Caenorhabditis elegans: one gene and its partner. The protein of the gene in region 1 purifies or fractionates together with the protein of each later gene. This does not show direct contact. Each region holds a gene or a part of one and is shown in the gene's direction. Other genes may lie near its edges. The genes, in order: epg-7 and sqst-1.

The links.
Region 2: the proteins of epg-7 (region 1) and sqst-1 purify together in Caenorhabditis elegans (affinity purification with western blotting, with the first as the bait; one study listed by BioGRID). This does not show direct contact.

What each region holds. Positions count from the first base shown.
Region 1 is NC_003284.9:7,332,391-7,336,318, forward strand, and holds the start of epg-7 (Autophagy-related protein 11 C-terminal domain-containing protein), read left to right. Parts: upstream 1-2,323; 5' UTR 2,324-2,388; coding exon 2,389-2,448; intron 2,449-2,496; coding exon 2,497-2,568; intron 2,569-2,617; coding exon 2,618-2,797; intron 2,798-2,844; coding exon 2,845-2,985; intron 2,986-3,087; coding exon 3,088-3,553; intron 3,554-3,608; coding exon 3,609-3,928.
Region 2 is NC_003282.8:12,032,220-12,036,147, forward strand, and holds the start of sqst-1 (ZZ-type domain-containing protein), read left to right. Parts: upstream 1-2,062; coding exon 2,063-2,231; intron 2,232-2,540; coding exon 2,541-3,928.

The sequences.
Region 1 (3,928 bases):
GTGTTGATTTTTCCAAAAAATATGCACAAATATCTAACACTGAAGTTCCCATCAAGCTTTCGAAAAAAACTTTTTGAAACGTTTAGAGCATTCTTCCATGTTCGAAGCTGTACAATTTAAATAAAAATATATTTATATTGAATTATCATACAATGTCCGGTGAAATTTGAAACGAATCTCAATGTTTTGATGAAAATTGAGTAAGTTACACTTTTTGACAGGAAATAAAACATTATTTTTAAAACTACTTTGAAATTTTATTACAATAATTGGTATTTTTTATAATGAAAAAAGTAATTTTAAACGTTCTACCCACTGACATCAATATGATTCAAGCGCCAAGTCTTATTTTTCGTTTTTTCCGAGACCATACAGTTTTCACTTTTAACTCTTAACTCCCATTCTCACCCGGAACTGAATATAATACAAAAATAATGATTATTGATAATCATATATATATCTCTCTTATCATTTTCCCAGTGATTTTTCTGTGTTCCCGAACGCAATTATTACCTGTATCTTTCTACCCATCTGAACAAAAGAGCAAACATTGAAAGACGAGAAAAAAAAACAAAAATATTTACTGGACCGTAAGACCGAGGTCAGATAAGATACTTGAAATGTTCTTCCCAGTGTTTTTCTAAGTATGTATGTATGTGTGTATGTGAGACGGTCGGCGCCTGTACTAGTTTGTTTCTGTTTTTGTCGCATACAGTTAGATGACTCTATTCTTAATTTTGACGTTTGCATTTCTGTGCTGAACCTGTGGTGAGCCTCCATCAATGTTTAATAACTCATCGTTTTTATTTCTCAACATCATAAGTTATTTAAAATGTATGTACATGTAAAACAGTTCAGTATGATCATTATTGTTTGCGAAGTCGGTGACAGAAATCATGTGGTTTTTAAGAAAAGTAAACTGTTTTCGCTTATGTACTTGAATAGTGTTTCACATTTTGTCAGTTGTATTTCAGTTATTGTTTTTCAAAGATAATAGCATACTGTAAAAATGTAACTTTTCAAAGCATTTTTTGTTTAAAAATTTCTATAAATCGGGCTGATTTCGTCTTAAGAGTGGAGTCGCGCCTGTGTTCATTCTTAGTGTAGAAACAAACTCTAGTTTTTAAAAATTGAAGGGCGAAACACGAATACGCAGCTCAAGCTTTCATGCATTCATATGGTGCTGAAAGGACCAAATATCGTAATAAACTGTTTCAAAAAAATTGGAAATGTTTTCGTTTCTAGTAAAAAACGGTGAAAACTCAGTTCTCAACAATTTTTTAGAAGTAGGTTTTCAAGAAAATAATGCTTTAATTATGTTGAAAATGTTTATATTCCAACATTGGTGGAGTTCAAACATACCACAGTTTTGGCGAAAAATGGCACGAACTAAGATTTTACAACTTTGACACAAACGTGAAAAATTCTAAAATGTTTTGAAACGTTTTATTTAATATTTAATATTTTCCTTTTCCAATAGGCAGGTTTTTAATCAGTTCTCCAGTGGCCATACTCCATATTCAAACCTAACACTATCCGGCCAGGTGGTCCCCGTTCTCCAATCGGCTCTCATCGTAAAAGATTAACTACTAATTCTTTTTGGCCATCTGCAGTGGTCAGACCCAATTTTTCTAAAGGAATACTTTTTTTTAGAGTTCTGCATTTGTTTCTCCAACTATGTTGTAGCATGTTGAAAAATGTCAGTTATTCAGTCATGAAACCTTGAAATCGATCTCAACAGTAGTTGAATTGATGAGATCAACCCACCTACAAATGTCAATGCACTAACTTTGTACTTCGCCATAAAATTCAAAATTTTACTTTCAGTCAGTTATGAAGTGTGGCGTCTCAAATTGTTCTACTGATAGCATTTTGAAATAAAAAAATCAAGATAATCAAAACACACCTGGTCACTCTAAATACCTTTTTACACTAACAAAATCATTCTCGTCTTGATTTCAACATCGATCTCTGCCCAACTCACGGGATGAATATGAGGGCCGTGGCTATGCCTGTGTCAGTGATGTGCGTGTGAGTGTGCAACAACGCTCACTGCCAACGCAAAAGTGCGTTGTGATGCAAGAGATTTAGAGAGAACGACAAAGAGGCAAAGGGAGCGTTTTCTGCCTCGCAGAGGAGGGTCTCCGCTCACAAGTCGGCCTCGTTTCTGCCTCTGTACGTCACGTGATTTGCAGCCGCAACACCACATTTGACGCAACATCACACAGTCATTTGCCATATCGACTCTCTTGTTTTTCTGTACTCTCTCTCGCTCATTTATCTCGTTCCAGATTATTTCCCAAAGCCGCTTGTTTTTACTCGATTTCCTCGTTATACCAATTTAATTTTCGACTTTAAAGTTAAGGTTTCAAATTTTTAGATTCAAAAATGATAATGTATCATATATTCTACATGGATAGGGGCCAGGCCATGGTATTTGATTTAAATGTAAGTTTAAAAACCTGGCTATCAACTCATGAAATAGTAAACTTACAGGCAGAAACTACAACATTCAATGTACTACAGGATATGGTATCCAAGGAGGTTGGTCATCGAATCTCTGATCTGGTATGTGTTTTGTCATTTATTGAAGTCAAAACGTGTAACGGATTTGCAGACTTTTCTTGATGAAAGCGGTACTACCCCGGATGGTAACAAAAGTTTGGCAGAGATCAGTACTCTTGGCACTGAAACATCTCCAGTGTACTTTTTTCTAAAATCTGGAAACGAAAGAGAAAACCACAACGGCAGTGATGTGACGTACATTTTTCAGATGATTGACGATGCTGTTGATCAGGTTAGTTGTTTTCAAAACATTTATAAGAAAGCAATCTTGTATTCCAGGCACAATACGTTCTGAAAAATCAGGACCCTCTGAAAATCTACATGGAGCTGCCAGAACGAGCAAAAAACTGTAGAAAAGTCTGCGCAGAGACTTTGCAAATGTGTGCCAGGCTGGTCCAACAGCATAGGTTTTTACATAAGGTAGGATTTCGACAAGAATTTTAATTATCAATATTTATTTGAAAGAATCTTTACCTTTCACGATATTCCAGTTACCAAAATTTACAATGGTAATCGTTTCAGGGTTGGTTGGCGTTGATTAACAATCTGGATATATCTGTCAGCAAAATGGACAAAAGGGGAAAGAAGTTCAAATTGGTACACTCAAAAAGCGAAGAACTCATTGAAAAGTCGGACACACTCCTGTTGAACTATTCCGACGTTGTTGAACAATTACGAAGGATCGAAGTTCCTTCGGAAATTTTTGTGAAACCAGCGTCTTTGATGACTTCCACATCAACTCCAATCAATCCAGACGAAAAATGTACATTGTTTGATTTTATTGCGATGGCTGATCCAGAAGCATCTCTTGATGGTTTACCTGACTTGGTTAATGAGAAGATTCGACAGCTCAAGGAGCAAAATGCTATTAGTGTATATACGAGGCTCCAATCTGTACATGAAACGTCGAAGAATCAAGAGTATCGAGATTTCAAGGGAATTAATAAACGATTTTCTCAGCTTGAGTTTAGTTTGAAAAGCTGTGAAGGTAAGTAAAAACTAGAACTAGGCCTATAACTTAAAATAACAACATATATTTTTAGAAAGAAAAAACTTGGTTCACAAACTAGTCGCTCAAATTTTGGAAACTCCGAAAATCAATGACCAGAATAAGCTACCACCAATTATCGAAGAACACCGTCAATGCATGCTGACTATTTTCGAAAACTTTTCAGAATTTCGAAATATGGTCCGCGTTTTTGATCAGTCAAAACAGGAAATTCTAAAAAATTTGCGAACGAGAATGTCTGGATTTGTGGTTCAAAACTACGATCGATTACGCGTTGTTCTCAACGACATTGTACAGTACGAATACAAAAGCAATGCAGTTCGCATTCACATGGATCTTATTGGTCAGATTCGA
Region 2 (3,928 bases), on another chromosome or scaffold:
AAAATCGAGATTTCCTGAAATGCGACTGTCATGAGTCAAATTTCAGAAAATTCCACGTTTCAATTTCGATGTTAGATTATAGAGACCTTTCTAGCTTCCCATTTCACAACAAACCCCTCTTCATCATCATGACGTCATACAGTCTCGTTCTCTTCTCCAAATATAAATGATCAGCTGTACAGTCACTAAATGCAGCATATCAGTACCTTATCAATTGATAGCATCACCACATGTTCATCTCGCCTCAAATTCAAAAAAAAAGCAACACTTCACTCCTAAAACAGTTCCATTTTCGGTCGATAAACCATCGATTCCCCGTTCACTCAGCTGTGCGTATTTTCTCGTCATTCGTCTCTTTCTCACAGCCTACACTATTCGCGAAGCCGTCTGCAATCTGCGTCTCACCTTGGGCCCTATGCAGAGGGACAATCAATCGGCCTAGAGGAGGCTGGTCATGTGTTTATGCATAGAAATATCGAGAAAGAATGCGAGACACAGAGATGAAGAGGCATCATTCGGCCTCATTTTGCCCATAGCAACACTTACACTCGTAGGCTCGGTAGTGGAATGTTCCAGATGAATACTCTTGCTTTGACACGATATTTAAGTAGGAAATTCCTTTTCTAAAATCTAAAACTAGCAATTTCTTGCGGTTGTGTAACCGAATCAAATATTCGAAAATTAGCAAAATTTCGCAATGAATATTCTCGTTTTTTGGCAAACCGTTTCTTTTTTGTCATTTTGACTATTACACAGTCTCCTCCAGTGGAAATCGGTCCGTTGGCGCACTTCTCGTGCATCGCGTGGAAAATTGAGAAATTACCAAAACTTTCAATTTACTGTTTTTCTTTATATTTTTCATAACATAAGCTTGGGTGGAAGATTACTTTTCAAATAAACATCAATTTCTACTAGAAAAATGATGATAAATATACAAAATATGAGAAAAACTCAATTTTTAGTTGTTTTTACTTTTTATATCAGCGCTTTTATTTTTGAACCAAAATCAAAAAACTTTTTTCTCCACCTTTCCCCGAATTAGCTTTACAATTGATACCTAATTTCAAAGTATGAAATCGATTTTAAACCCACAAAAACCGAAGGAAATCATTTTTCAGTGGTAAAATTTTGCAACGCTCACGAGAAACGCGCAAGCCCCCTTGTTGGGTCATTTCCACGTGAGGAGGCTGTGTATTATCCTTTCTGATTTTTTCCGTCAAAAATACGGTACCCGGTCTCAACACGCTTTTTTGTTGTAAAATACAAGCAAGTATGCGCCTTTAAAGAGTACTGTAATTTCAAACGTTTTTTGCTGCTTAATTGTTTTCCTTAACAATTTATTTGTTTATTTAAAGACTAAAAATTGAAATTTAAAAGCACAGAATTGTTTTAGAAAAAAGTTTTAGAATACAGTACCGGTTGGAATTTGAAAAAAATTGTCGTGTCGAGACCGGGTACCGTAGTTTTGGCGCAAAAATCACAACATTTCGCGTATGGATAATATTTAATTGCATTTTTACATAACTTTCTTGTAGGCCCAACAGTACCTACTTGCCTGCCTACAGGCAACTCTCTACTGCTACTAAATTTTTGACGCCTTCACGAAATTAGTCACTTATGATAATGAAAGTTTATATTTTAGTTCTAGAGAATCTGTTCAACTAGATCCTAACAAAAATAGTCTCCAAGAAATTTAGATGAATGATAATAAAAACTTGTTGGAAGTGATCTACTAGATCTAGATACCACCTTGAACTTTGAAGCCTTGAGTGTTTTTCTTTTCATATCTCCGTTCTTGCCCCCTTTGTTCATCTCGTAAACATCTTTAAAGGTTCCAAAAATAGTACATTTCCTTTTTGTTGTTGCATTATTCTCCAAAAAAATGAATTATGGTTTCAATTTCTTACACAATACAATCATTATGATGATTATTCGAAGTATAATATTTCGAAATTTCCTTTTTTCGATTTCGCAACTCTCGCAACTCAATAATGTCAATACTTGTTCTATTATCTTTCACTCTCTTTTCACTCACTTTCAAATAACTTCTCATTTTACTCAGATGGCTGCTGCATCATCCGCTCCTCACCAAATGCAAGTTCGTGTGACTTTCTATACAAGTCACAATCCGCAATCGGTTCTCATGATTTTGAAGAACGATCAGGCTCTTCAACAGATCTCCGAGAAGGCAAGAGAACTGTTCCCATCGGCTGATTATCGTCTCTACTACGGTAAGATATTATACTTTTGTTTTTGCCCCGTTTGCTAGACGAATCAATTGTGCAAATAGAGTATTTGTATGCCACACCTATGTTATGACAAAAAAGTACGGTGCCCGGTCTCGGCACGATTGAAATTTTTAATGGACGTTCCGAGGAAGAGTGTGCGCCTTTAAACAAACCATTTTTTTAAATTTAAAGTTTAACTAGATTTAAAAGGTCGTTATTTTTGTAAAACTCAATTTAATTAGATTATATTTAAGATTTCTAATTTCCCTAGATATCTCACAGTAACTTTTTTCCAAATCTTCAAATTTTCAGGTGATGTCAACGGACCAATCTTTGAGTTCACCAATTCGGATCAGATTATGTCTAAGATTCGAATCACTACATTCTCTCGAACTCCTCAACTTTTTGTTCGCCTGGAAACTGTTCCCCTTCGTCCAACAGCCCTACCATCAGTGAGCACTGAAACTGCCAAAAAAGCTTCCGATGCTGATCGTGAATCAAAGAGCAGATCCTCGCTGAAGCGTATCGAGAACAACCAGGAGCTCACATTGAAGACGCTGGAGAAGTTGCAAAAGGAGCTCTCAAGAGTTAGCGCTTTGGAGACGATGGTTGCTGATCTTCATGCAAAGGAAAGAGAACCTGTTGTCGAGGAAGTTCAGAAGCCATTCCCTCCAGTGAAGCACTCGGCGTCTTGTGATGCTTGCCTCGGTGACATCATCGGACATAGGTTCAAGTGTCTCGAATGTGCCGATTATGATTTGTGCGAGAAGTGTGAGAGAAAATCTTTACATTATGAGCATGCAATGATCAGAATTGTGGAGCCAAAGAAAACAATGATCCCATCATATGTGACATCAAACTCTCCGAACAATGTCTTCCCAACTTACATGCAGCACAAGATCCAACAACCACAAACTATCAAGGGGATCAACAAGACTGTTATCACGAGACTCGTTCCTTCACATCAAGTTAATCCAGCTCCAATGCCTCAAGCTCCACCAGTCTCCACTCCAGTTCCATTCCCTCCATCTCCAACCATCGGAAATGGAGCAGTTCCAAAACCAGCCCAGGAGCCTCGGATCCCACCATCTCCAACTTCTGCTCTACCACCACCACAATTCTTCAATGAGGAGACCCGTGCAGCCATTATTAATAGTGCAGCGTTGCTCAAGGAAACTTTCAGTACTTTGAGCAGAAGCTTCTTGGATTTGGCAGATGGTGCACAGGCCAATATGGATAAAAAGATCATTGAACGCTCGACCATGGAAGCAGGAATGACCAAATTCGAAGAGAAAATGGATAATTTGAAAAGACACTGTGAGGAGAAATATCTTGGAACGGAAACTGCTGAAGCTGAGAAGAGCGAGGAATCTTCGAAGAAGCAAGCAGATAGCTTGTCTGGACCAAAGATCAAGAAGGCTAAGAAGAAGTCCTGCTACAAGAAATCTGCCGAGAGACTATTCACAATGCAACTTGCTGCGGCGGCTGCTGAGCAAGCCCGTCTTGAACAAGAAGCCAAGAAAAGAGCTGAAGCCAGCTCTGCTGAATTACAGAGGAAACTTGCTGAGCTTAATGTGAAGGAATCTCAATCAAAATCCGAGGAAAACATTGCTGACTTTGTCCTATACGATCTTTACGGAAACTCCTTGGAAGCTTTGTTGAGAGGTCGTTCGAGCTCTAGAATCGCCGATCCTCCGACC